Linked DNA regions of Notamacropus eugenii. The protein of the gene in region 3 purifies or fractionates together with the protein of the main gene of each other region. This does not show direct contact. Links are inferred from orthologs where the notes say so. Each region holds a gene or a part of one and is shown on either strand. Other genes may lie near its edges.

Region 1 (7,461 bases), on a different chromosome or scaffold from region 3:
GATTAAATCAAGAGATCTTTTAAAATGATTTTTGTTTGCTTAATCTCTCTTGACATGTTCTCCTTCCCTCGTCCCTTCCACCTCCTCCCAAAAAAGTATTCAGAAATTGTGTATTTAACAGATTTACTATGGGTGGAGAAATTTTCCTTTTTTCATCAACAATAAAAAATACTTCTAAATTCCCATTTAAAAATGACGTGTAGATAAAAGAAAGTCTTTAATAAGGATTACAGTAGTGAAGGAATGTAAGACAAATCTATGGAGAAACAGTACATTTGCTCCATCCTCTCCTCTCCCCTGAGGGTTAAGGTGCAGAGTCATAATAAGACATCTTTCACTTGAAGCAAAAACAGATGTTGGGTGGGTGGTGGCAGCGGAAGGGTAGCTGGTGGTGGTACACTGGACAGTCCAATCATGGGCATAGTGTCCCTGGCATAGGAGCCATCCATTCCCTAGGTATTTCTGCAATTCTCAATAAGGTTTTGGGAAGAAGGTAAGTGAGGGGCAAGTGGGTTGCCAAAGGACGGTGGGCTGGGGCCAGGTGAAGGAGTAGGGGACAGGTCACATGCTACAGGCCTATGAAGGTTGATGAAGCACAAAGCACTGTGATGATGAAAAAAGCCCCCACCAGATCTGTTCTCCTTAACAGGGTTCTATACTCCAAAATTAACTAACCTTTCTTCCTCCCTGCTTCCTCAAATAAAAACTCATTCCTTCTGAGGTTAACTCCGCTAGATGCTAAGAGGAAAGGAAACATCCTTTAGTCTAACTGCCTCATAGCAGAGATGGGGAAAATTAAGCCAAGAAATGTGGTGACTTACTTGTCCCAAGTTCTTCAGGTATAAATGACTGATGTCTTCTCTCTGAGGGTTAGGGTAGAAAGTTTACATTTTAAAAAGGAATTGTTCTTCATCAAAATGAACCTGTCATTGCAAAATTTCAAGCAATAGGAAGGAGGGATTTTCTGAGAGGGAAAGAGGAGCACTTCTCTGAGGGCCTCTAAACTGTTGCATATATTTCCTGTTAGGCTGATCCTGAGTACAGACATTTAAGAGCACTTTTATTTTGACAAATGAGGGTTCAAAATAAATTTAAACCCTGGGACTTGTTTTAAAACTGTCCTCCCCCTTCAACCAAAACCTATAGACTAAAAATAGTGATTGTAATAATAATTTTTGGGTCAGGAACTGAGATTTTATTGGTGTAGGGACTGTCCAGAGCAAAAAAAGTATCTCCACTTACACTAAAGAGATCAGAGAAAGAAGAAAAGGACCTATATATATATATGAATAAATATTTAGAGCAGCTCTTTATATGGTGACAAAGAATTAAAAACTAAGGAAATGTACATGTACTAGAGAATACCTCCATAAATGATGGTATATGAATGTGATGGAATACCATGTATTGTAAGAAATGGTGAATTATAATAGCAGTAATAGCTAACATTTATGCAGCACTTACTACCTGCCAGGCACTGTGCTACATGCTTTACAGTTATTATTTCTTTCGATCCCCACAACCCTGGAAGGTAGGTTCTATTCTACAGATGAGGAAACTGAGGCAAACCTCAGTTTAAGAGGTTTGCCTACAGTTACACAGTCAGTAAATGTCTGAGGCTCTATTTGGACTCGGGGTACTTTTCTCCTGGGTACAACCTACCTGCTCAAGGGGACAAAAGGGCACAGCTGCAGAGAAACCCTGGAAGGCTGATGCTGATTGATGTGCACAGAACCAGGAGAACGATATATTCATTAACAACATTGTAGAGACAAACAACTTAGAAAAACTTAACAACTTTTAATCACCATGGTGACCAACCATGTTTCCAAAGGGCTCATGATGATCACTGCTTCTCACTTGCTGACAGAGAGGTAGGTGACAGACTAAAGTGAGAAATATGTTTTTTTTCTGGAAATAGCCAACATAGGAATTCATTTTGCTTGACTATGTATATTTGTTATGAGGATCCTTTTTTTCTTTTTCAGTGTGGAGGGTGAAAAAGTGAGAAATAGAAAAAAATTGTTGAAAAAATATTTTTGTGGAAATTAAATGCATTTCAGAGGAAACTCTGGACCAGTCCCATGTATCCACAGCAAATACCACATTATTATTTGTGCAAATCTGACCCTGATAACCATCCTTATCATATGTGTCTGACTTCTCCAAACCAACTTTCACCACTTACATGAGGGAGAAAGTGGTATAGTGGCTAGAGTTCTGGGAAGTCTTGAGTTCAAATGTTACCTCAGACGCTAATTAGCTGTGTGACCCTGAGCAAGCCCCGTAACATCTATCCCAGTTTCCTTACACATTTACCTTCTAGGGTTGTTAGGAGGATCAAATGAGATAACATTTGTAAAAAGCACTAAGCACAATTCCTGGAGCATAGTAGGGGTTATATAAATTATTGCCTTCCCTCCCTTCCTAGGTAAGGGACTGAATAGGGATAGGAACTGGATCTGTGATTTCCTTGTTATAGGGAACTCCACAGTGAGAAAACTTCATCTATCTGTATAAGTTGGTAGCTCTTTAAAACTTACCCTGAGCATTGAGAAGGTAAGGGACTTACCCAGGGTCACAGTGAAACCAGTTTTTGCTGGCTTTGAGTCCTCCAACTCAGAACTCAAGTCACTAAGAGAAGCTGCTTCATCATCATCATAGCAATCAACGTTTCTGTAATGCTTTACATGTTAACTCTTAATCCTCACACCGATCCAGATCCAAAGAGCTAGGTGCTATTATCATCCCCATTTTACAAATGAGGAAACTGAGGCAGACAGATGTTAAGTTACTTGCCTAATGATAAATGAGGCAGGATTCCAGTGTGCCAGCTCACATTATATTAGAAATGATAATTATCATTTGGTTTTTCATGTTATTAATTTTTATTTATTTGATAATCAAATTAAGATTCAGAAAAACAAAAGATGAGACAATTTGAATTGACTCAGCAATTTTTTTCTGTGCAAAATGATTCTAGCTTTTTCCTAATGTTACAATTGCTATTTTTAAAAAAGCAGACCGTTCAAAACTTCTTGTTTCAATTGAAGAGTACTACTAGTTTTATTTTAGTATTTTTATCCTCCCTTGGAGGCCCTCTCTGAGTCTGAGGCTCAGACAACATGCCCTTTGGGATCTTTTCTGATGGGGGCTGCACTCCCTTGCCATCCCCAGCTTCATGTTGGGCCCCTGGCGGGGCAGCAGAGGAGACAGCTGCCTGGGTTCCGGATCGAGGGGGCTGTTGTTCTCCCCCCACCCCCGCCCCCCAAGCCTGGCTTCCAGCCAGTTACTGATGGCAGTGGGGACGCTCAGACCGCAGCAGATTTAGGCAGGAAACTGACCTAAGGAAGGGGGATGGGAAAAAAGGGAGCAGCGCAGGGCTCTTAGCCTTGTTCCTGCTGGAGAAGTAGTTGGAGGTTCGTTTCAGATCTCCGTAGCCGGGCTTGTGCACCTGGGATCCAAGCCGTTAAAAAACATTTTTATAACTGCATTTTACTAGCTGGTTTGACACTAGTAAATGTAAAAGTAATAAAGAATAAACACTGAACTGCCCTTTGCCAGCGGGTTTCCTTTGTAAGCTTGTGCATTTTATATTATGCATCTGAAGACGTAATGCCGAGGGCTGGGGGTTTCCCCTGGCCAACACCAGACTGCAAAAGGGACCCAAACACCAAGAATGGTTCGGAGCTCCTACGGTTTGGGAACCGTAAATGCAGAACCTGCAGACCTGCAGTTGTGAAGGAGGCCCCTCACTGAGAGAATCACGGGCCACGTCAAGTCACTTACTAAGTGCCCACTACGTGCCAGGCGGCGGGGATGCAGAGAAAGGCCAGTTCCTGCTCTCGAGGGGCTCAGGGCTAAAGAGGGGGGCAGTGCAGATCAGCGGGGAAAGGCGGCGTGCCTGGGCTCACCGACCCCAGTCCTGTGCCCATCCTGGGGAAAGCCTACGAAGCCAGGGCGTGTGTTTACGTCTCCGCCGCCCTAGGACCCCTGGCCACGTGCAGTCACCAGGGGAAGGTTTCCTGAGCAGCTTCTACCGCGCTGCTCGGGTTTTCGGGACCAGATAGGGTCGGAGTGACCCGGGGCCACCTGGCACCGGACAGGTTTTCCTACAAGGAGCGGCCGATCCCAGGCGATGCCCGGAGTCTCGAGGACTGCCCCCATCCCAAAGTTGTTGAAAAGAGCCTGGGGGGTGGGGGGAGGAAAGGAGGACGGAGGCGGCGAGGGAGGCCGCCCCGCGGGGGGCCGGGGCGGAGAACTGGGGGGAAAGGGGTGTGGCCAAGGGGCTGGAAGAGCGTGGGGGAGGAGTGCGAGAGGGCGGGGAGGACCGTGCCGGACTCGGCTGGGAAGGAGGATGGGCTAGACGGGAGAGGAGGGCGGGAGGCTGGCAGCGGCAGGAAGCCGGGCCGGGCCGGGGGCCAGCCGGGGAGCGGAGGCGAGCCGCGCGCGGAGGCCGGCTGGGTGGGTGTGTGGCGGGGGGGAGCGGCGGGAGGCGGAGCCGGGGCAGCCTGCGCCGCGGCGGCCCCCGCGTGGGGTAAAGAGGGCGGCCGCCCGGCTCTCCCCGCACTGCACCCCGGGTCTGCCGCGGGCGAGGGTTCCCTGCTCGGCCGGCCGAGGCCGCCGGGTCGATGACGTGGACCAGCAGCATGAGCAGTGGCTACAGCAGCCTGGAGGAGGACACGGAGGACTTCTTCTTCACCGCCAGGACCTCCTTTTTCCGGAGACCTCCCCAGGGCAAGCCCCGCGCCGGCCAGCCAGTGAGTGGTGCCCTCGGGACCCTGCGGTGCCCCTCGTGTGCCTGTGTGTGTGTGCCTGTGTGTGTGTGTGCGTGCGTGTGTCGTGCGTGTGTCTGTGTGTGTGTGTGTGTGCGTGCGCTTCCCACGCGCACAGAACGTGCAGAGACCCCAGGACATGGCCCTGGAGCTGCCAGCCACCTCGTGCACCCCTCCCAGCCCTGGGCTGCTTCACGAAGCAGCCGTGAACTTGCAAGGGAACCTAAGGGACACCTTGATTCTCACTAACCTTTGGTGTCCTTCGGAATCCCGTTTTATTTTGTGCGTTTTAAAAAAAACTTGATTTTGGGAAACAATTCTCCACATCGCTCAAGGGTTCTGTGACCTAGAGTGAAGAACCCTTGACTAATTCTTTTTTCCCCAATTTACTGGTGAGGAAACTGAGGTCCACGGACAGGACAAGAACCATGGGTTTTTTTTCTTTTGCTTTTCTTTATAAAACCCATAGCCTGATGGTGGTTTGTGGAGTTGTGAATCCGGTTGTGGAGCGCTTAGAAAATCCTTAAAAGCGAGCGCCCTGCAAATGCGCTGCATTTGGGGGTGGGGAAGGTTCTCTGCATGGAGAATGGGGAGAAAGGGAAGGCTGTGCCGTGACCCCCCACTGTCACACTTACCATATGGTAGCTCCCGCTCCTTTGCCCGGGGCAGTGGGGCTTAGGCTGCTGCTCGCTCTTGTGGGTGCAGATGTACTGGGCTTGCTGCTGGGGTGGGGGAAGGGCGTAACCCAGACTTCCTAAGTCGGCCCGACGAGTGGAGGGTTCGTTCCCCTAACGAACCCGGAATATTCAAATCGGTTCAATTCACAAAGCGCCTAGTGAGCGCTCTTGGGCCAGGTTACCCCTTGGGACCTAAGAAACCCTATTCAGCCTGCCCGTTGTAGGCAAATAAATCCGCGTGGGGCTGAGCAACTGTGACTTTTCTGTCTGTACTGTGACGTCTCTCTTTGTCCCACCTTATGCCCGACCTCCAGGGTCATAACTGGTGTGTCCGTGACCTCCTTTTATGCCCCTTTGCAGGGGCAGGATGGATATTCTCCAATATAACTACGTTTGTGTAGGTCCACATTCTCAGAAGTTCTTCACTGGGTAAATTAACCCGTTAATTAGAGCCAATTTAATTGAGAGGAAAAATATTTCCAGACTTTGGCTGGTCTTGCCTAGAGGCAGAGTATCAGGGGACTCATTACTTCTGGAAGAGATAGGCAGAAGGGATCTTTAGACCCGACTAACCAACCATGACAATATTTCACTGAGTGCCTTTCCCATAACTGAACTGACTTTGGGTTGGGTTTCCAAGGCTGGGGCTTGAACTCATGCTGCCCTGGGCTCTGGGAGGGACTGGCAGCAATCACGTTAAAGAAGGTTGTCATGGAACAAATTTGTTGTTCCCCTTGGAAGAAAAAAATAACATTTATAACCAGACTTATTCTTGGAGCTTTAGGAGGGAGAAAATAGTTCAGGGGCTTGGGTGATGAGATAAAAATCACATTTTTTTGGTGCCGTGTAATCTCACTGTCAGGTTTTAGTTTCCAGTTCTTGTTTTTATCCCAGTGCTTCTTCTAAATACTCCATACTTTGAAGCATATCAGTCAATTCCTCACCTTCCACAGGGAAGTATTGTATAGAAAGTGCTTTAGGATGGCACTGTATAAAAGTGGGCTAGTTCTATGTAAGATGAAGGGGGCTTACTTAAGGCAAACCCTAGGCCCATCTTGGGAGCATTTTCTCCTTTTAGATTTGGAGCTCCTGGAGAGTACTGTCTTTTTCCTGTGTTTGCATTGCCATTTCTTTGCAGAGTGCCTGGCACGTAGTAGGTATGGAAATATTGGAATGATTTTATGGAATGATTTTTCAAGCCTTGTTGTCAGGATGTTTTTAGATCCTGGAGATGCTCATAAATAATGAATTAAATGTGTGTTAACAGAATAAGAATAATATGAAGGTTGAGGCCAGGAGCAGGCATCTCCTTCATATTTTAGAAGTTTCTAAAGAAGCCAGGCATGAGTGTTTCATCACTGAGGAGGAAAAAAAAGCAGGGGTGGATCCCAGTCTTCTGTTTGAGTTCTTCTGGGGTCAGATGACCTGGCTCTTTGATAGTATCTGTTGTTTTAGTTTCCAAACTGTCTCAGCTCCTTTTGCTACCAGAGGACATGCTTGTTTTGGGAGGAATTTTTGAGTGCTTTCCCCATATTGATTTTTTCTTTTTTTTCCCCATATCTTTTTCATTTGACTAGTTTCTCTCCAGTATCTCCCCCCTTATCTTTACCTTCTCTCCTTCCACTTTTGTTACCTTTAACATGGATGTACAGCTGCTAAGAGTGATTTTTAGTGTTGATTGGTTGTTGTCCTTCGTCTTCAAAGAGGACCAAAATGACATCACCATGATAAAGTGAAATTTCAGTGTGGCTGATCAGACCAATACAAGCTCAGAATGCTCTTCCACAGGTTGGGCACAGATAGTCCCTGTGAATATTTGGGGTGGATATCCCAAATTTGTGCATCCTTCATTTACTTTGTGTTGTCTCAATTCTGCTTTGCTCAAAGAGCGCAGCACCCTTTCTGATGTGGGCATGCCATGCTGAAGGGTCCTGTGCCAGTGTCTCCCATGTTGTACAGTCAAATCCAAAGTTCTTGAGAGAGATCTTGAGAGTGTCATTGTTTTGCTT
Region 2 (7,063 bases), on a different chromosome or scaffold from region 3:
GTAAAAAACAAAAGAAATCCATGGAAATACATTTTGTAAAGGTAAGAGCAGTACAGTTATGTACCAAATTCAGACGAGACTTCAAACAGAAAGCTACTCGGAAAGAAAGCAAAACGGACCAGAAGAGAATTTTTCTAACTTTAAAGAACCTTTCCAATTTCAATACTTTTAAGTTTGGAACTTGGATGCTGCCAGAACTCAGGAGTTTAACAAAGTACCTCTGACAAAGGAGCACAGAAACAAAGAGGAGGGCTTAAAAAAAATACTCACTCGTCCACAGAACCAGCCAATGGCTTCTTTGATCGCTTTATGGCATAGATACATCCATCCAGCCTCTTTACACACTTAAATACTGAACCAAATTCTCCTGACCCAATCTTCTCCAGTTCATGAAATTCACTTTCATATCTTGATTTCATGTTACTTTCTGTAATTGTAATTCTCTGTAACAACAAAAAAATTGACTGTTTCAAAAGTATCAAAGTCAAGTCAACAGAAGATGGCACCAAAGAAGAGGAGGCTTGAACAACCTACCTTGGCAGGTCTGGGGGTCTCATCTTCAAGCTCCCCATCACTCGCTTCCATGTCTTCATCACAGGAACTGAAACAAGAATTGGTGCTCTCTGCATCAAATATACTTGCAAGACATATTCCAACCCATGCTCTCAACTTTATCTGGCAAGTCTATACAGATTACTAGTGGAATTTTCATAGGAGGAGGCTGAAGATGTAACCAAGTATTGCTCCCTCAAAGGTTTTTAAGGTAAGATTACTAATCAGCTTAGTTTATGGTGAAGACCTTCACCCCACATTTGTTTTCTGGATTCTATGACTATCAAATATTATATCTGGTCCAGCCCAATGACCTGGACGGTAATTCCCTAACCCTACTACAAGTGTCTCCCAAAGTCCTTCCAAGTTAACTCTCCCAACCTAGAATTTAATAGAACCTTTGAGTTGGAAGAAGTCCCATCATCTAACAGCTATAACCCCTTCACTTGATAAAAAACACTTCCCTGAGAGTGTCTCAACTCTGCTTGAAAACTTCCAGTGACCAGGGTCTCACCACCTCTTGAAGCAGGCTGTATCACCAACAGCACTCCATCTCTCTAACTTTCCCTTCTTATGACTATTCATTACCACCTCTAATTTCCCAGCTCTCCATGCCTTCCTCCAAGATGTGCAGGCAACCTTTTATTTCTTCCTGCTCTACAAAGATCCTTTTTCAACAGGAAATAGCACTCATCATTTTTACAGCTAAACACACTGCTGCCACTCCAGAACCTCCGGAACACAACAGTCTAGACGCTAACTGTGAACAGGACCATTAGTACAAGCTCTTGGGGATCACACCGTCCAATGACATACTCGTTCCAATGCGTCCTCTTCCTTCGGCGGCACTGGCCGGAAGAATGCAGCAACATCGAGTCTGGAGTGAAGGGGTTAATGTTCACTTGGGGGGTCTGCCTCATGTCAAAGCCTGGCTTGTCGGCTCGTCCCGAGCTCATGAACAGGGAGCCGCCTCGGAGCTTCACGGAGCCGGAGTCTATCCCTCGGGCTTTGGACAGCAAGCTCTGGACGGTGAGGAGGAGGGAGGGTCAGCGTTAAGGACGGTGGGCCCACCGACAGCTGCGCCCGGCCAGACAAGGCGGGGCACCCCGGCCCGGGCCGATCCCCCGGTGCAACAGACCCCGCAGCCGCCCCTCGGTGAAGCGGGCCCTCCCCTCTGCCCCGGCCCCGCAGACCCCGCGCAGCCTCCATCTTAAGCCGCATAAACAGGGGAGGGGACGGCGCTCGGCTGGGAAAGCCAGGCATTTTCGAGAACTCCTTTCTGGAGCCATCTAACGTTTCCAGAGGCTTTTCACGCTGGCTGGGCAGAGGAGACGCTCATGCTCTCAGCAAACGTGAGCCCAACGCCCAGGGTAGGTGTCACTGGAGGACACCCCTACGTGAGCTGAAGCCCGGCAGCGGGGCGTGCCGTGCGGGTCTTCACGCACGTGTGTACACACACACACAGACAGACACAGACACACAGACAGACACACACAGACACAGACACACGGGTCTCAGCTCCCTCGGGCGCGGGGCTGGCTTCCCCCGCACAGCCCCCCGAGCCCCCGCGGCCGAGCCCCGCACCCGCCGGGCGGCTCCCACTAAAAAGACCCAGGGACACAAGCTGACAAGGCCGGGGGCTGGCTCTGCTCCCCGGCCGTCCCGCGGCCCGGCCCCGGGGAAGGCGCAGGCTGCGGTTACATAAGCCCAACGGCCACTAGCGAGGGGAGGGCAGGCCCGGTGCCCGGGGCTCGGTGCCCAGGGCGGCCGGGCGGCTAGGTGACCGCCCCCGCGGCCCCGTGCTCACCTTCGGCGTGTGCGGCGTGTCGAAGAGCCGCAGCTTGCGGAAGGTCTTGTGCGGCGGCGTGCCCGGGTAGTCGGGCACGGGCGAGCAGGAGCCGTCGCGGCGCTGGCGGCCGCGCGGGGAGCGGTCCCCGCGGAGCGGAGACAGGGGGCTGCCCGGGTAGTAGGGGGCGGCGGGGGGCGGCGACTTGACCGGGGACGAGGAGCCGAAGCCCTCCTCCTCCCACGAGTCGCCCTCGGCGCCGCCCGCGCCTCCTCCGTCGGCCGGCGGCATCTCCTCCTCCGGCGGGCCCGGGGCCGGGGCTCGGGCCGGGGCGCGGCGGCGGCCGCCGGGCTCGCTCTCGGGCTCCGTGGCCGGCCCCGGGGCGGCGGGGCTGCGGGCGGGCGGCAGCGGCGAGTCCGGCTCCTGGAAGGCGGAGTCCTCCCCGGTGCTGTGGCCGCTGCCCTCGTCCTCCTCCTCCTCCTCCTCCTCCTCCTCCTCGCAGTCGCTGCCCGGGGAGAAGATGAGCTTCTGCCGCAGCGCGCAGGAGCCTCCCGGCCGGCCGCGGGGCGGCGGCGCCTGGTGCCGGCTCTGGAAGCTCATGGGGGCCGGGGCAGGGAGCCGGGGCCGAGGGGGCGGGACCGCCACGTGCGGCCCGGGGAGCTCCGCAGGGGCGGCGGCGGCCCGGGCGGCCTGGGCGGCGGCGGCTCCTGCGCCTCGGCGGGACGTCACCGCGGCCCCCGGCGCCGACCGGGGAAGGGGGGCGAGGGCTGGGGTCGCGGCTCCGAGGCGGCAGGGGCGGCGGCGGCCGAACCGAGGGGCTGCGCGGCGAGCCGATCTGCCTGCGAGGTTCGGGCTCCGCGGCTTCCCGCGACCGTTAATCACGTGAACGCCCAACCTACCAATCCCCGCCCCGTCTGGGGTTTGAAAAAAAAGGAGGGCGCTACGTTACCCGCGGGAGGAGGGTACGTGCTACGCGATTTTGGCGCGAAATGTGTGGCTCCGCCCCTCCCCTACACGCACGTAGATAGAAACACACAAACACAGACGCACGTCGGTCCAGGGAGAGAGGGGCGGGGCGGAGAGAGGGCGTGGCTAGGGATGCTGGCCTATGGGGGACAGGGTGGTGGAGGGACCCTCCCCACGAAAGGGGCGGAAAGGGAAAAGAGAATGGGGAGGAGGGAGGGGGGAAGAATGGGGGGAGGGGAGAAAAAGAATAGTAGAAAGGGGGGGGAACTGGTAGGTGAGAAGGAGGAGGGTCAAAGTGGGACGGTGGGGAGGGGGAGAAAACCGGGAGAGGAAGAGGAGGAGGAGGGGGAAGCGTGGGGGGAAGGGGAGGGTTGCGAGGCGCAGACCGGAATTTTTGGGGTCAGTGGAGAAGGGTTTTCCCCCGGGGTGCTTTCCCTGAGCTGTGATGGGGAAGAAGGGAGGGCCCCCGGGGCCTGGGCGCCCCTGGGCTGGCCCCCTGGGGTGAGCGGTCACCGCGGGGCCCCCTGCTGCGGCCAGGCAGGCGGAACAGAACTCCGTCCAGCAGCTGAGTAAACACGCGTGTGCAAAGTCCACGTCCGGGCAGACCTTGGCAGCCGGAATCCCGCCGAGGACGTACCTGCTGGGCCCCGAGTGGGGTGCCCCTCCGCGGTCCGGTCACGCGTGGGCTCTGACCCTGGCCTCAATCCCCTCGTGGGTCCGGGGGGTGGTCGGGGGCGGCCAGCCCCAAGGGTCCCGAGCGTTGGGGGCGCAGGAGGGGATCTAGATGGGCCCCCCACGAAGGGCGTCCTGGTGTCACTGTCCAAAGGAGACACCATCAGACTTTGGAAAGACGTCCACGGTCGGGGCGCCCCAACCAGGCCAGACGAGCCCAGGAACCTTGGCCTCCTGTCCTTGGCTTATCTCCTGCCCTTTGGGGTCCGTTAGTCGTCTTCTCCTCCGCGCCCACTGTCCCCGTTATCACCTCCCGGCAGATGCCACCCAAATATACCCAGCCCCGAGCGCCTCTCCTCCCGGAGCGTCCTAGTGCCCTGTTCCGTGCCCCAGCCCACCTGTCCTGGACAGAGCCAAGGACTTTCCAACTTCCTAGTTAACATTTTTTAAATTTTATTTTCCAATTCCAAATTCTTTTCCTCTTTCTACCTCCCCCCATTGAGAAGGCATAACATACTACCCTTTATACATATGAAAAATACAATTTCTGTTAAAATGTGTGATCCTCCTCCAGTCACCAGGATCCAAACCTTTGAACCATTTTGAATTTTCCCCTCTTTCTTATCCCCAACTTTAAAGAATCCCACCCATCCATCTCCTTTTTTTTTTTTTTAACTACCTCTGGTTGGGGACCTCATCATCCCTTTTAAGTAACAACCTCTCCAGTGGTTATACATGGCTTCTCTTTCAAATCCATCCATCACATAATGTTAAAATAATCTTCCCTGACTGTCAGGTTAGAGACCATGTCACTCCCATCCCAAAGATTTCAGTGGCTTCCTACAGGATAAAAACCACAGGTTCCCAGATGTAGGGAAGGCAAAGAACCCAGGAGTCATCCCCTCCCACCTCCTCATTTTACAGAGGAGGAAACTGAGGCTCTGGCTCAGCCAAGGTGTTCCTCCAACTTCACCACCACCCTTCTTTCCTTTGGAGTCTATGCTTTTGGTATGGAAGACCCTTCACACTAGGGCTCTACCCAATCTCCAGCCTTTGATCCTTCTGTCTTTCCACTAGCTGTTTCCTAATTTTGTCCTGACCTCTCACAATTTCCTGTATTCACACAGTGTGCCCACTGGAATGCAGTTTCTCCTCATCACTCTTTGAATAATTTCTCTTCTTTGATCAGCTCAGGTGTCCCCTCTGTGAAGCCTTCTCTAATTCCCCCCACCCCTAAGCAGTGGCATCAGACTCAAACAGAAAAGGGCCCACTAGTCTGTACATAAAAACCCTGCCAACCGAATATTGACTTTACTTTGAAAATGTTATGTTATCTGGATTTTATCATATTTTTATTGATCTTGTCAAATATATCCTAATTACATTTTAATCTGATTTGGACAGTACTCAGGAATATTAACCCTATGTTTGCCCCCTCTGATCTAGGGTCAATGTGACCTCCCTTTTCTTCCTCAGATACTCCTAACCCTCTGGATCTCACCTTTCTTCCTATCACATTAAGCTCTTGGGCATATTCATTTAGGTTCTTCTCATCTTCTGTATTAATTGTCATCTCCTTAACAACTTGGATAATGCTGTTTTTCATTCTTCTATTTCCCTTGGTGCTAAACACAAAACCCTGCAGGTGGGGAGTACTTAATAAATCACTGGTAAATTGGATGTGTGTCTTGTCTTCCCAATCCGACTATAAGCTCCAGCAGGCCAGGAATTCTTTGTCTTGTACCCAGGGAGATGCTAAAAGATTGCTGCTAGGTAATTAGCAATAATTGATACTTTACATTTTGTTTGAGCCTAACTACAAGCTTATGAGATAGATTGCAGAGGAGTATGGTTGTTATTCAGTCAGGTCAGATTCTTTGTGACCCCATTTGGAGTTTTCTTAGTAAAGATACTGGAGTGGTTTACCATTCCTTCTCCAACTCATTTTACAGATGAGGAAACTGAGGCAAACAGGGTGAAGTGATTTGCCCCAGGTCACACAGCTAGTGTTTTCCTGACTCCAGCTCCTGGGCTTTATCCACCATGTCACCCAGCTGCAGAGGAATGTAACTGAATTCAAATCCATCATCAGACACTTAGTGGACCGACTGAGCTGTCTGCCTCAGTTTCCTCACCAATAAAATGGAAATAATAATAGCACTTCCCCCCAGAGTTAATATTTGTCAAGCACTTTGCAAATCTTGATGAGCTCTATAAATGCTAATAATAATAGTTGAGTAGAAACACGCACATATGGGATCAGGGTACCACTTGCCCGTTCCAGGCTGCCTTCCTCTTAGCGCCCACGGGGGAATATACTCTGCCAGGCAGATATATTGAACCTCCCCTTTTCTCAGGTGAGAACCCCATACCTCCAACTCTTTTTTTACCCCAGGTGAAAATATGCCTAGCTGAAACTATGGTAGGGAATATTAACCCTATTCTAGAGATGAGGAAATTAAAGCTCAAGAAAAAGAAATAAAATGGTCCCATAATTAGTAATGAATGCAAGAGAATTCGAATCCTGGTCTTGTGAATACCCAGCTCTGTTGTCTCTTTTCCATTCTGCCACAGGAGAACATCAGCTCTAGCGTGAGGTCTGCCTTTGTCTGCCTTGAGACTTTAGAGGTGAAGGTGCCTTTTTTTCTCTAAGTAAAAGTGGTCAGATAAGAGAAACTCTCCCCCAAGAACACAGCGCATCCTGTGCACAGGCTGGGGCGACCAGAGGGTATGGTAGCAGACTGCAGCTCACCTTTTAAATGGCCAATCCTGGCTCCCTCTGTGTTGGGCTGTTTAAAGGGAACTCGGCGTCTCCAGCCTCCCAGGCTGCAGAGAACGGTTCCCACCCAGCAGCCCCGGGGCCTCCTTCCCTTCCTCACCCCGAGATGTTGCTCAATGTGCTGTTGCTAGGCAATTTTTGCCCAGTCCATACAGTTTTTGATAATGTTGCAATAACCGAAGAGAGGGCAAGTTCTTGCTGCTGGTGGTTGGGCAAGCAAACTTAACCTGTTTGTCCCCTTTAAGAAACAGGACTGAAAGAGTGAAAGGCCTTTTGTGGGGCCAGACATTCCTCTGCTCCCAGCAGAG
Region 3 (7,419 bases):
ATCATGAAGAACTGAAAGTTTCCATGGTAATGACTGTATAAATATAATGTGAATTCATGAAGGGATTGGGAGCACCCCCTTAGTGGTTAAGCTCCAACTAAAACTATCATGAATCTATGTATGCACTTACATGTGAGCCCCTTAGCAGAATGCAGGTTCCTTCGTTTCCTTAGAACCTAGCAGAGTGAGCTACTAGCTGTCTGACCGTGGATACTGGATTGGGTTGGATGAAGAAGTCCAATATGGCTTGGGATCATACTGAATTTCATACCTCATGGAATGTATAGGTTCTAGTTTAGTAGAATTATTTTACTTCCAAACAGCCCATTGATCATGGATTAACTGAAATCCCATCATTCTAAGGACAGCAATTAACATTTTTGTATCTAGACCTTTTCCTATCTTGACTCATCAAACCTCCCCAACTTCTAATCTTTAATTTCTCCCTATTAGCTCCTTTACCTGCAGTCTACAAATATGGTTAGGCCTAACCTAGTTTTAAAGATGTTCACTTGATCATACCATCTCCTTGAGAGCTTGTCCTATACCTCTCCTCTGCTGCATAGCCAAACTCCTGGAAAATGCCTTCTTTAAGCCATTGACTCTGTCTTCTCCACCCCTCCACCCTCCATTTACTTTTCAGTTCTTTGCAACTGAAATCTAGCTTCATCACTCAACTGAAATTGCTCTCTCCAAGGTCACCAATGATCTCTAAATGACTACATCTAATGGCATACACTCGAATCTCCCTCATTCTTTTTGACCTCTCTGCATCAGATTCTACTGCCCATCCCTTCCTCCTGAATACTCCTTCCTCCCTGGGTTTTGAAGACACAGCTTTCCCAGATCTCTTCCTACCCTTTTGTCTGTACCTTCCAAGGGACTGGACCAAAAAGTGTTCTTAATCTGGAGTCCAAAAACTTTTTAAAGAAATATTTTGATAACTTTTTAATCACAACAAGATGTGTTCATTAAAGTACCTACTATGTACCAGGCATTGTGCTAAGTACTGGGGTTTTTAAAGAAAGGCAAAAAACAAAACAAAAACCAAAAACAAGCCCCAGATCTCAGGGAGTTCAGTGTAATGAAAAGACAACATGCAAATGACTATGTACAAATAATCTTAAGTAGTTAAATTGGAGATAATCAACTGAGGGAAGGTCTTTAGGGAGGATTAGGAAACATTTCTTATAGAAAGTAGGATTTTAGTTGGGCTTGAAGGAATCTAGGGAAGCCATGAGGTAGAGGTAAGGAGGGAGAGTATTCCAAGTAGGGCAGCCAGCCAGAAGTGGCATGGAGCTAGACTTGAGTATCTTGTGCAAGGAACAGCAAGGAAGATTGGATTGAAAAGTATGTGGGGGTTGGGAGGGAGGGAAGATCTCCAAGGTAGGATAGTTATGAAGGTTATGAAGGCCTTTGAATATGAAAGGATTTTAAAATTTGATCCTGGAAGTGATAGGGAGCTAATGGTGAAGGGCGGGGGGAAGGGAAGGTGATATGGTCAGACTTGGCATTTTAGAAAGATCACTTTGACAGATGAATGGAGTAGGGACTAGAATTGGGAGAGATTTGGGGCAGGTCGCCAATAAGCAGGCTATTGCAATGGTCCTGGCATGAGATGATGAGCGCCTGCCTGTACCAGGATGGTGGCAGGATCAGAGAGAAGGGGCCAAATTGGAGATATGTTACAAAGATAAAATTGACAAGCCTTGGCAATAGATTGTGAATGAGGGTGAGAGGAATAAGTCAAAGATAACACCTAAACTGATGCTTTGGGGACTGGGAAGATGATGGTACTCTTAAGAGTAATAGGGAAGTTAGGAAGAGAGGAGGAGATTGTGGGTGGTGTAACACTTACAGGTGGTAGGAGATAATGAGTTCAGTTTTAGATACGTAAGATTAATATGTCTACAGGACATCCAATTCAAGATGGGCAGCAGGCAGTTGGAGAAGTAGGACTGGAGTGCAAAAATATTTATAGCAGCTCTCTTTGTGGTGGCCAAGAACTGGAAATCAAGGGGATGCCCATTAGTTGGGGAATGGCTGAACAAGGTGTGGTATATGAATGTAATGGAATACTAATGTGCTATAAGAAATGATGAATGAAAGACTTTAGAGAGGCCTGGAAGGACTTAAATGAACTGAATCTGAGTGAAAGGAGCAGAACCAGGAGAACTTTGTACACAGTAACAACTACAGTGTGCAAGGAGAGGAATTTTTCTGGTAGACTCAGCCCTTCACAGCAATGCAAGGACCTAAAAAATTCCCAATAGACTCTTGAGGCAAAGAGTGTTCTACATCCAGAGAAAGAACTATGGAATTGGATTGCTGAATGAAGCAGACTATTTTCTCTTGTGTTTTTTTTTCTCATGATTTCTCCCATTCCTTTTAATTCTTCCATGCAACATGACTAAGGTGAAAATGTATTTAGTAAAAATGTATGTGTAGAACCCATGTAAGATTGCATGCTTTCTGGGGAAGGGAGGGGAAAAAGAGGGAAAAAGGAGGGGGTGGAAGGGGGAGGAAATCTAAGATTTATGGAAGTGATTGTAGAAAACTGAAAACAAATTAATAAAAAGAGAAGTGGGACTGGAGGTCAGGAGAGAGATTGGATCTGAAAATCATCAGAAGAAAAGATTACTGAAACTACTGGAGTTGATGAGATCACTCAGTGAAACAGTACCTAGGGAAGACAAAAAAAAAGGGCTCATGACCACACCCAGATTTAGTTATAATTGGTTTACTTTGTATAAAGGTGATAGTGAAACTATCCCATTTGGTTCTGATCCCCATAGTAGATGAGAACGTTTTGATTCAATCAAACAATCAGAACTGAGTTTGAACTGGCTCCTTGTGAGAGATTGGATCCCACTCTTTATCAATTTGTATAAAAGGAAGAAAGTAGAATTGGGATGAGTGAGTGGAGAAAGATTCTGAGCCACTGGATTCAAGAGGTTGGAGGAGCAAAGGGAATACTGAACAGTGGAAGACAAGGAAGTATCTAGGAGAATTGCATCTTGGAGAAGAGGACCCAGGATGAGTCAAGTCCCAATCAAAGGTCAGCTCTATAGATATTACAGTATAATCTCCTGTTTCCTTACCCAAACGTCTCCTGTAAAATGAACTTTGCCTCAACCACTAACCAAGAGTTAGAAAGAGATTTAACATAAGGTTAGGCAAAAAGCCTATATGTCAGGAATTTTCTTAACTAGGGCTCTTTGCACTTATTACTGAACTCTGAACTTTTCATCTAAAACTTTGTAAAGGTGAAAGCACCAAATGCACTTCAAGAGCCATAATATTTCCTTATAAGTTTAAAAATGAGCTTGCTATTAAAACATAATAGAAAATTTATTGTGCTAAGCACAAAAAATAATTTATAACCACATATTCCATATCATGCATTTAAAATCTTATTCTGAGACTGGATCAGTAGTTTTCATTTTTGTATCACAAGGATCGACACAAAAAAGGTTAAGGATTCCTGGGCCAGCTGATGTCTAAAGTCCCACTAGCGCTGGGGAACTGCATGCCCTCGGGCCCCTCCACCCATTTATTCCCCCTTCAGCATGCAGCGAGTGAACTTCCACCTCGCAGGGCGCAGAGCCCGGTACCTGCCAGTTCTCTGGTTCCTGCCTCCTGCCAAGGCCCGACCCAACATCCTCCACAAACCAACTTCTCCCTGCTCCCGCCCGCCCCCATTTTGCTACTGGGTACCTTCCCTATTCAGGCCCATACGACTCTAGACCCCTCCAACATAAAGAACCCCACAACCCAACCCTTCCTGCTCCGGGGCCTGATTCGCCCCTGGGGTTCCCCCGACACGAATTATTCTAGGTCACCCCTTAATTAAGCTCCGCGGCCCTTCTTCGGGGTGCCGGAGCGAACGGGGACAGATTGCGCATGTGCGGAAACTAGCCGCACGCGCAGGGCCTCACTGACTGTTAAGTCGTCTTGGAGTTTCCGCTCCTGTTTTAGGACTACGGTTTCCGACAGTCATCAAGGTACCCAAGTAGTTTCGGGGAAGCGCGCCGGAAGCACCGAAACCTACAAGGCCCGACCGCAGAGGCTAGTGGGATGTGTAGTTCATGAACGCCTCAATAACTCTCTTTACTCAGGAACCCCAATTCTGCCCAAAATGTAGCGGTCTTAACTCCCGACGAACAGAGTCAAGGTTAGGGCGTCCTCTGGAAGCTCAGGCTTAGGCTGCATTCGCAGGCGAAGGGATCAATCTAGAGCCAGGATTTCAATCCCAGGAAGCTCTGCGGCGGACAGGCCGCCCGGCTCGGTATGCCCTGTAGTTGGGCGCGGGGCTTCCTGGGAGCTGTAGTCCCCGAGTTGCGTTACGGCGTTGGCGGAGGGGAGGGCGGAGCTGCCGGCGGCCCGGGCGGGCGGGCAGCTAGAGAGAGTGCGATCGCCGCTGCCGCCGCCGCCGCCGCCGCTGCAGCCGCCACTATCGCCGCAGCCGCCGCCGCCGCCAGCTCCGGGGCCGTTCGCCGCTGCGGGGAGCGAGAGGCGGAGGCGGGGCGGGTGCCGCGATGGAGCCCGACTCGGTGATCGAGGACAAGACCATCGAGCTCATGGTGAGTGCGGCCCCGCCGGACCCTCGGCCCCGGGCCTGCCCAGCGCGATCGGAGGGCCCGAACCCTCCCACAGCCCCGATTCCGCCTCCCCTCCCCCCAGCACTCCCCGACGGAGGCCTGTCCTGGCTCCCCCCGCCCTCCCTTCCCACCCGATTCCTCTTCGGGTCTGATCTTTTTCTCCATTTCCCCTCCCTACTCCTGGCTCGCCGACCCGATCCAGGGATCCCCCTCCCCCCTCCAGTCCCCACTCTTGCTCCCGAGGACCCGTTGCCTGCTCCCTGGCCCGTGACCCCGACCCGCCGTCCGGGTGATCTCCCCTCCCCCATCCTGTCCCCTTTGCCCCTCCCCCCGCCTACCCCCACCAGGCAAACACACGCCCCCAGCACCCCAAAGGGTCTTCTTTCCGACCCCTTCCCCCTCAAATCCATCCTGGCTGATCCACCTAGTCCGGAGCCTTGGGCCGCCCCGCCCGGTCCGAGCCTGCACTCTCCCCCTCACCCCCATCCCTGCCCCCGCTGCATTTCTCGTGATTCCCTCCCCTTTTCCCCTCTAGACTAAGAGAGAGGTAGAAGAGAATGGAAAAGGAGGGTCAGGGAAGCCCCAGTCGCCATTGCTTCTCATCCTCCTCTTCCTCAAGCCTCGGAGGCCTCAGTGCACCCCCTTTCTCCTTCACCCTCAGTCTTGAAGTAGCTAACCCTCGTCCCCCCCGACCCGAGTAAGAGCGCAGAGTCTGTGAGTGCTCCGGATAATCGGTTGGGTGTATTCCGGGAGCTCGGTTTTCTGGGAGTGACTGATTTATAGCCCCGGATCTCCCGGGCTTCTCTGGTGACTGGATTATTGGGGTTGATCCGGACAAAGGGCTTCTGACATTCTGCGGAAATCCCGGCAGCTGCTTCACGCTGGAGGGCTCAGAGGCTTCTCTGAGGATACAGTATTTTAACTGAAAGGAAGAGTAGCTGTTTACTCATTTTTTTCTGTGTTTGCAGGGACAGTGAAGCCCTGATAGGCCCTTAGTACCTTCCAACTATTCTGCAAAAGCAAGAGGCTATGACTAATTGATGGGGTAAATCAGCCTTGTATTAGAAACCAGTGCGGGGTTAGGGAGCAGAGCTCCAGGCCTGGGGAAAGTGGATCTGGAACCAAAACAAGTCTTTGCAGAAATGGGTGACAGGATGGTATAAGGAAGAGTAACAGTAGTAGAAGTGGAGCATTTTAAAATTTCTTATTTCTCCCATGATGACTGACTGAAAGACGTATATATGGCAGGTGGTACCTGCCAATTTTAGCGGCTGAGGAAATCAATCATAGGGAATATGCTGGGTGGATAACTTAGTGCACATTCACCAGTATTTTAAGGCTAGTTTCTAGTCTAGGCTGTATTAGCTTCTCTACCCAGCACTTTTGCTACAGAAACCTTGATGGTTTCTTTGTATCTAGTCTAACAGTAACAAGTTTTTCCCTGAGTTGAAGGAAAGGAGGACAGAAATCACTTGTCAAATTATATCAGAAGGTTTTCATAGTCAGATTTTTCTCAATTCATGAATGCCTATTGAGTCAAAGATTCCACTAGGTAGGGTCAGTGACATCAGAGCCACTTCCACATTTAATGCTATAAATAATAAATGGTGACTACTCTGAATGCCCTTTGGATAGCTACCCAGTTTCAGTAGATGTTGATATATTAAGGACAGAGCCACATTTTTTTTTCAGATGGAAGTACAGTAGCTTAAATATGGAGGTAGCTCAATATCTACTGTCTTTTTGCTTTATTTAGATAACTAAATTTCCTCAGTGCTTTGAACACTAGAACCAGATCATTTTCCCCAGAAAGTTTTCAAAAAGTATATTTGTATAGTATATTTGTGGCATTAAAAAAAAACAAACCATGATATCGATCATTTATTGAGTAATTTTGCTTTTTAGCAGTATTTTATAGCCAGCAGTAATCTATTTAGGCATTTGATACACACTTACAGTATGTTATTCTGGCAAAAGATACTGTAACAAGGACTACCACTCATATATACTTAAACAGTATAAACATTTAAGATTGAAATTTAAGTCTAAACTTTTAAGCAGAATTTTTCATATTGAAACATTGTGAAACAAAAATGGTTTGATTAGGCTGATAATGAGCTGCATATCTTGGTAACTGAATACTTATTTTTTAAAAAAACTACAAATCATCTGTTTTCCTAATTACTTGGTTAAGTATAAATGAAGACCAACATCTTTATGTTAAAATGAACTTTTCAGTCTCAAAGCCTAAAATCTTAATCTTCTAAGGTTCAAACTTTAGACCACAAAAGTTTTTGACTAATGTGACAGTACTTGTCTCTGTTCTAACAAGACAGCCTTCTAAAGCTAGTGAAAAAAAATAAAAGCAAACTCTTTACCAGATGTACAACACATCTGGATATTCATAGAACATGTTTAATAACCCTAAAGCTATAAGGGGGTGCAGGTGGGGGTGGGGTAGAAGCTTCATCTAAGACTTTGCTGTTCTTTGTGGGATAAACTAGTTAAGACTATTAAAGCCTTTCCTCAAAGCCTTTTTTTTTGTACTTGTGTTGGTATATTAGGGCAGGTAAATATAATATATTTAAAGCTTGAGTGACAGTATCTACTGATAAATTAGAAATAGTATCAGTGGATCATTGCTTGAGACTTTTCTTTGGTTTATATTGGGGCAGCATCCTCATTCTATAAATAAACAGATCTTTTACACCAGTTTTTAAATTCTTTAATTGATAAGGAACTGTAGAGAACCCAATCGATCTACTACTGTGAAAGTTTAAAAAACCCAAAGCAGGAAAGTTTGTTTTATGAGTCCACT
Region 4 (6,964 bases), on a different chromosome or scaffold from region 3:
ATAAGCACTAAGCCAGGACTACCAGACAACCTCAGGAGGTCTTTACTTCACTCTCAGTACATTTGGGCACAATATGCAAATCAAAAACACACAGGAAATCAATAGTCCCTTCTGGGAATGGAATAAGACACAGAGAGCAGTGACCTAGGAGTCAAATGATTGAAGTTTCTAGTCCAGGTTGTGCCACTAACTTGCTGTGTGACCTTAGGTAAGTCAGTGCCTCTCTCCAAACATTTGGTGGAAAATTAAGGAATTGGTCTAGATGATTTCTAAAGTCTCTTTCAACTCTAAAATTCTATGACTCTGTAGCAAGGTATATATTTTTAAAGCAATACCAATTCTTCTGTCACACGGATCAGGAAGCCACCTTTTCTCATCCCTTATGTCTTATTACTGATCCTTAGATCTATTTATAGCTGAAGAATAAGAAACCGAGTAATCAGTGATCTTAGAGCTAAAATAAGGGGAAAATTCAGCTATTATAGCCCTAACATTGTATAAGTTCTTTGTCAAGGACTATCATCCACAATAGGACAGTCAAATGCTTTGCCCTGTCTTACTGAAAACATCCAAATAGGGATACTCTTTGACCATCACCTTCAACTTCTTCCATTTGACTTGCTACTCCTCTGAAAAACTCAGTGCTTTTACTTATTCTCATGATCCACTTTTGGGGAGAAAGAAAGCATGGATTACTTTCATTTTTACCAGTATAAAGCTAAGTCAGCTAGTATGAAACAATGAGGGAGCTTGGAAACAAACTAAGGAGTCAATATCCCAAGTAAGAACTAAACTTAGCAGAACATAATGTTTCTCCAGCATCCCATCTGCATTTTCTCATCTCTACTCAACTATAAGTCTGAACAGGGAGAAACAGCAGCATAATTTCTTTCCAGGATTCAGAATCTTATTCCCTTCCAGCTCTAAAACCATACAATATCTTCTAAGACCCTGGGGAACCACAGCACAAAGCTCTTCTATAGTACTAAAACTAATTTCTAACTAGTTTTATTGCCTCAATCCATCCTACACACCACAGCAATGATAACCTTTCCAAATTAATACTTCTCATACCTAGACACAACAACCTATCATTCCAACCATCCCACAATACTTCCCTTCACATGATATGATGCAAGCAAGCTTAATTCATATTTTCAAAACATATACAATTATTTTCCTGCCTCTGGGTGCTTGCTCACACTATTCCATCTGCCTAGGATGCCCTCCTACCACTTCTGTCCAGTGAAATATTACTAATCAGTCTTGGGAAAGCTCAAGTCAAGCTCAAATGCCATCGCCCTCCCCTAAGGCAGAAGTGATCTCTCCTTTCTTTGAATTCTCACAGCATTTTGTTTGTAACATTCTTATACAACTATCCCACTCTACTTGGTATCTGTTTGTCTATGTATCTCATTTACCTTGCTGGGCTGCAGTTTACTTGATAGCAGGATCCATATAACTCATTTGGATTTATATCTTCCTTTAATGGCTTATTTATATGGTAGTTTGTTGTTGAATTGGCAATTCTCAAAGGTTTCACCCCCAAAGAAACAGGAGAGAGGGAGAGAAAGAGTAAGACATATATAATATCTATCTCACCAGATGCTTCTGATAGAGGTTGTTCCCACAAGTCTTCTTTCAAAGCCTTTCGAGAAGTAGTCTTGCCTGAATATCGTTTGTCCGTATCTACGATGGAAGCAAAGGCCCTTTTCCTAATGCTTCCCACACGAGTGAGGTCACTGTCTTCATCTTCACCCTCGTCAAATCTGTCAATAACTCGGGCAGCAGTGGCTGAAAGAAAAAAAAAGAGGAGGGGGAGGAGAAAGAGTCATTAAAAAGGTCCCCCATAAGAGGGCAGCTATTTACATCCTCCCTCTCACCCCCACTCCACCAACTCCAAGAAGTCACCCAATATCTGACTATGCTAAAGTGGAGCCAAACAGCACAACAGATTGCAACCAAACTGCATAACCCCCACTTATTTTCTCAGGAGCCATCTGTATATAACCAAATACACTGGGGGTGTGGGGGGGTGGGGAAGGAGAGAAAACCTAAGCAACAAATCAGGCCCTTCATATGCATGCCATATTATACAGTAAAATCAAACAATCATAAGCTTCTCCAAGGCCATTGGGCCTAGCCCCCTCACTTTACATATGGGGAAACTGAGGCTCAGAAAGCCTAACTGACTTGGCGCAGGTCCCAGAGGCAGGCCTCGGACCGGGTCCTCTGAACTCCACAGCCACTGCGTGCTCTTATTTGCATGGTCTCTCACCACAACCTAAGTTCCTTGAGGGCAGGCACTGGCTTAGCCTTTTGGTGCATCTCCAGCGTCTGGACCGGAGCCTGGTACGTAGCAGGAGCTTAACAAACGCTTTAGGCTGCCTGGTTTGCCCAAGGTCTCAGCGCCTACTATGTGCCGGGCACTGGCGAGAGGCTAACGATATAAATAAAGGCAAAGGGCAGTGTTTGCTCCCCAGGAGCAGGTGTCCGTATTCGAACCCAGTTCCTGTGGTTCCAACCCAGCACGCAAGCTGCCCCCTCACGACGCCCAGTCCCCAGACACCCGTGCCCAGGCCCCGAAGCAGTGCGGCTGGGGGCGTACAGCACACGCAGGACCGCAGGATGAAGCTGGGCTAGGGCCCAAGAGCCGCCCCCACCCCTCCCCCTGGAGCGCGGCCCCTACCCCTCCCCCTGGAGCGCGGCACCCAGAGCGGGGAGGAGCGCCCCCCACCCCGCACGTGGTCCCCGGGCCTGCAGAGCCTTCTCACTCACCCTCCTCGGGATCCGCCTCCGGGTCCGCCTCGCTCGGCCGCGGGTCCAACAGCTGCTCCAGCTGCCGTGACAGGGGCTGCGGGGCTGCCATGATCTCGCGACCCCAGCCTGCCCAGTCCTCGCGCGCTCTGCCGCCGCCTCCCCCGGAGCGGCTCCGCCAAACGCCGCACCGACTCACGCTCGCGGATCGCGGATCCTGCACCGGCAACTTCCGGGAGGCGCGCGGCCCGAGGGGGCGGGGCAGATGGGTAAGGGCGGGGCCAGCCGTTGCGTCACGGTAAACGGAAGGAGGGGCGGGGAGAAAAGGCGAGAGGGAAATTCAACGGAGACCAAGTATGCGCTTGCGTGCGAAAATACGTGCGTGCGTGGGGGGGCAGAAGTTGGGGGTGTGCGCGTAGCTGCGCCGTCCTCCTGCTAGGCTGCGAGGCTGGGTCTGTGAGTCTTTCGGTCGGTTCTCGCTGTTCTAGCCGTCCGTGACGGCTGGTGCGGGGAGAAGGGAGCCCCTGACGAATGATAAAGGGGGAGGCGGTCACCAGGAAAGAGAAAGGAGGAGAAGCCGGCGCCGCCGGAGCAGGGATGTCCGGCGGAGTGCGGCAGGCGTGTGGCGGGCGCGGGGGGCCAGCCTTGGACGAGCCTGAGCGGGGCATGGGCCGCCGGGGCACGTTTGCCAGGCTCTCCCTCTCCAGTCTCACACGGCTCTTTGTTGTTCCTCAACCAAGAAACTCCACCTACCCACGCGGAGATTTTCACTGCCTGAAGTGCTTTCCATCCTCATCTCTTCCTCTTGTCGTGTCTGATTTTCTTCAAATCCCAGCTGAAACCTCGCTTTCTGCAAGAAGTCTTTCCTGATTCTTCCTTAATTCTAGTGACTGCCCCTCTATGGATCGCTTGCTGTATGTCACCTCTATAGCTCACTTGTCCACAGTTGTTGCCCTGTTTTGTCTACCTTCGTTAGATTGTGAGCTCCTTGGGAACAGGGACTATTTTTTGCCTTTCTTTGTATCCCCAGGACTTGGCTAGGTGCCTGGCACATAATAGGCACTTATTGCTTATTTACTCTTAGCACACTGAATTTATTCTAGGCACAGAGTTCATCCCAGATTCTTCCATCCAAGGATGAAGTCAACTTCAGCCTTAGACATCCTGAAACAAATGTGTGGAGGCATTTCTCACATATAACTAAACCTACATAAGAATAATTAACATTTAGGTAGCACTTTTACAAAGCACTATACCAACGATACTCACTCATGGTGAGCCAATCCACCACAGAGAGATAAGTGCTACTATGACCCAAATTTTACAGTTGAAGCAAGTGAGGCTGGGAGCAGTTAAGTGACTTGCCCAGAGTCACAACTACTACGTGTGTGAGGCAAAAGTCAGATACAGGCCTTCCTGACTCCCCAGTCCAGCACTCTCTCCATTGCATTACCTTTCTGTGTACATATTCATACCCCTACATACACAAACTCATGAAGATAAACAAGTACGTAGCGAACAAAGAAAAAATAACTCTTCCCTAGGACAGATAAATGAATATGCACTAAGAACAACGGTTAAGTCCAACACACCTTTAAGTTCCCCTTTTCTTGGATCCACTAAGGGCCAAGGCCTTAGATAATCAACAAGCATTTGTTAACTGCAGCGTACCAGACACTGGGGTAAGTGCTGGAAATACAAACACAAGCAGAAAGATAGTCCATCCTTCAAGGAGCTTAGTTTATATTGATGGAGGAAGACAACACATAAAGGGGAAATAGAATGTGTGTGGGAGAAATGCTAGTACCCTGCTTGGGGGCATAATAAATGTCCAGAGGCAAGAGTGCAGTCTGGAGAGGACTGAAAGCATGGCTGACCTGGGCATCCCCAGAATGGAGGAGGTCTCCAGGACCTTCCTCCTCCATTGGAAGGAACTGGCTGATCGATGAATAAGGCCGAAGGGGTCGAAGGTACGTCCAATGTGAGGAGACCAAAAATATAGAATGAACTTCCAAGGTGAAGATTTTTTTTTTTAACAGCATGGCAGAAAAAACCCAGAGAATAAGAAATATAGTCTTAGTTTCTATGACCGTGGGACAGCAGAAAGTCTTCAGAAGTAAATTCTGCTTGGGTCACTCACAAAGACACAAAATCTTTGAAACAAGAAGAAATAAAAGGAAAAAAAAACCCTTTTCAGTTCCTGGCTTACAATATGACCAAGAAAAGGAGGAACAAGAGATGCTCCATGAAGGGTTGCAGCCACGTGCAGCCCACCTGCTGCACCATCTGCCCCCACTGTGTGCCCAAGGACAAGGCCATCAAGAAATTCATGATCTGAAATATAGAGGAAGCTGAGGCCATTAGGGATGTATCTGAGGCCAGCATTTTTGACTCCTATGTGCTGCCCAAACTGTATGGGAAACTGCATTACTGTGTGAGCTGCAGGATCCACAGCAAGGTAGTGAGGAATTGATCCCTTGAGGCATGAAAGGAGGTGCTGCCTCCAGACACCCTTCCCCCCCCAAAGCCCATATAAAGAGCTATCTTCCCATCAACATTCATGAACAGATGAGAGAAAAATGAAATGGTTGTTCTACCTGAAAGAAAGAAGGAAAGAAAAGGAAAGGAAGGAAGAAAGAACAGAATAGAAAAAAGCAGCATGAAAAGTAGAAGACCTGACCTGGGTACAAAGCCCACCAGGCTTACTACCTATGTAATGTTGGATAAATCATTTAATTTCTCTGAGCCTCAGTTTCCTTCTGTTTAAAATAAGAGTTGGACTAGATGACCTGTAAGCTCCCTTCCAGCTCTACATCTCTGATCCTGAGATCAGATCCTAGACCTGAATGTAATCAGACTTTATTAGAGGTCTACAGAAAGAGACAGGTGTCCAGCAGGTTCCTAGTATCCTGGATCTTGGGTGCCTATTGAGCCTGCTTTGTCCCAGAGCTTAACTGTGGGATGCATCATGTATCTTTACTGGAACCTCAGGCATATTTAATGAGATCACAGGTTCTGCAAATCCTCCATTCCACTCTTCATGGAGCCCTACTCATAATCAGAATCTTTCTTCAACCTAAACAACTCTCAAAGCTGAGGTTTAAGTTCCTGAAAACTGGACAGGCAAAGGAAGAAGGATTAGTCTTCCTAGAACTGACCTACCTGGAATATTTGGAAAGTTGAATGGAAGCTGCTGGACACATAAGTCTCAATCAAAGCCTGGAGAATGATTCAGGAATTCAGAGGCAGTTTTCCCTCCATCCCTTGTGATAGTTTCCTCATCTATCAAATGGAGATAATAGCATTCTTACTACCTACTTTACAGGGTTGTTGTGAGAAATAAATGAGATAATGTGTTTAAAGCTCTATATAAATGCCAGTTATTATTACAGTAGCTGGAGGCTCCAAGTCTGTGGCCCTGAGGGGGTAGGCTTACTTGTATGTTGGTGTAGACTACTTTTGGCAACCCAAACTGCTTTTAAATGAAGAAGCTTCTTTTCCCACCTTCATTTTCAAGGGTATCTCTATTCTTTCCCCATTGCTAGCTTTCTCTCTTTTCTTAATATTAGGATAGATATAGATTTAGAAGATGTATTAAATGTCACCAAATTCAACCTCCTCATTTTCATATGAAGAAACAAGTCCAGAAAGATTTGCTCAAAGTCACATAGGTAGTAAGTAGCAGAAGCAGAATTCAAACTCAGGTCTCCTGATGCCAAATCCAGCCTCTTTTCCATAAAATAATGCTTCTTTTTGCTTCTTTGGGGGTTATGAACTTTTTAAAAAGTGACCATCTTGAGGAGGGAAAGAGAAAGCAGTGAAGGGAGGAAGGAGAATGGAGGTAAAGATTATTGGCATTGTACAAACATGGGAGTTCTCAGGCATCATGATGCCCATGGGTGATGGGAAGGAATCTATAGAGATAATCCAGTCTTTTTTTTTCTAATCAGCTCTGACCTTTTGCAGTTTCTAGTTCTTTTTATCTTTCTCTGGCAAGACTAAAGAACAGCCAGCTGTTATTTCCCACAGGTGACTGGGTCCTGGAGCTTGAACAACAAAGCACAAAAGCTTCTAGACTTCTCAGCTCAATGAGTGGAGGGAGAGAAGTTCAGGAAGCAATTAGGTGCGCTAATTTTGACTCACCGCTTTATCACCAACTACTAGTCTGACCTGGGCCTCAGTTTCTTCACTTATAAAATGAAAGAGT

Evidence for each region.
Region 1: the proteins of FBXW11 (region 3) and RASSF3 purify together in Homo sapiens (affinity purification with mass spectrometry; 4 studies listed by BioGRID and IntAct, with this or other methods). This does not show direct contact. The link is inferred for Notamacropus eugenii from reciprocal best matches to the Homo sapiens genes FBXW11 and RASSF3.
Region 2: the proteins of FBXW11 (region 3) and WEE1 purify together in Homo sapiens (affinity purification with western blotting; 6 studies listed by BioGRID and IntAct, with this or other methods). This does not show direct contact. The link is inferred for Notamacropus eugenii from reciprocal best matches to the Homo sapiens genes FBXW11 and WEE1.
Region 4: the proteins of FBXW11 (region 3) and AATF purify together in Homo sapiens (affinity purification with mass spectrometry; 3 studies listed by BioGRID and IntAct, with this or other methods). This does not show direct contact. The link is inferred for Notamacropus eugenii from reciprocal best matches to the Homo sapiens genes FBXW11 and AATF.

What each region holds. Positions count from the first base shown.
Region 1 is NC_092874.1:241,330,297-241,337,757, forward strand, and holds the start of RASSF3 (ras association domain-containing protein 3), read left to right. Parts: upstream 1-4,451; 5' UTR 4,452-4,631; coding exon 4,632-4,760; intron 4,761-5,410; exon of another isoform or gene 5,411-5,497; intron 5,498-7,461.
Region 2 is NC_092877.1:35,862,454-35,869,516, forward strand, and holds the start of WEE1 (wee1-like protein kinase), read right to left. Parts: upstream 3,014-7,063; 5' UTR 2,939-3,013; coding exon 2,360-2,938; intron 1,575-2,359; coding exon 1,369-1,574; intron 602-1,368; coding exon 535-601; intron 444-534; coding exon 271-443; intron 1-270. UniProt on the Homo sapiens protein: Acts as a negative regulator of entry into mitosis (G2 to M transition) by protecting the nucleus from cytoplasmically activated cyclin B1-complexed CDK1 before the onset of mitosis by mediating phosphorylation of CDK1 on 'Tyr-15'.
Region 3 is NC_092872.1:403,849,775-403,857,193, reverse strand, and holds the start of FBXW11 (F-box/WD repeat-containing protein 11), read left to right. Parts: upstream 1-4,410; 5' UTR 4,411-4,538; coding exon 4,539-4,583; intron 4,584-7,419.
Region 4 is NC_092873.1:375,686,342-375,693,305, reverse strand, and holds the start of AATF (protein AATF), read right to left. Parts: upstream 3,015-6,964; 5' UTR 2,870-3,014; coding exon 2,779-2,869; intron 1,795-2,778; coding exon 1,603-1,794; intron 1-1,602. UniProt on the Homo sapiens protein: Part of the small subunit (SSU) processome, first precursor of the small eukaryotic ribosomal subunit.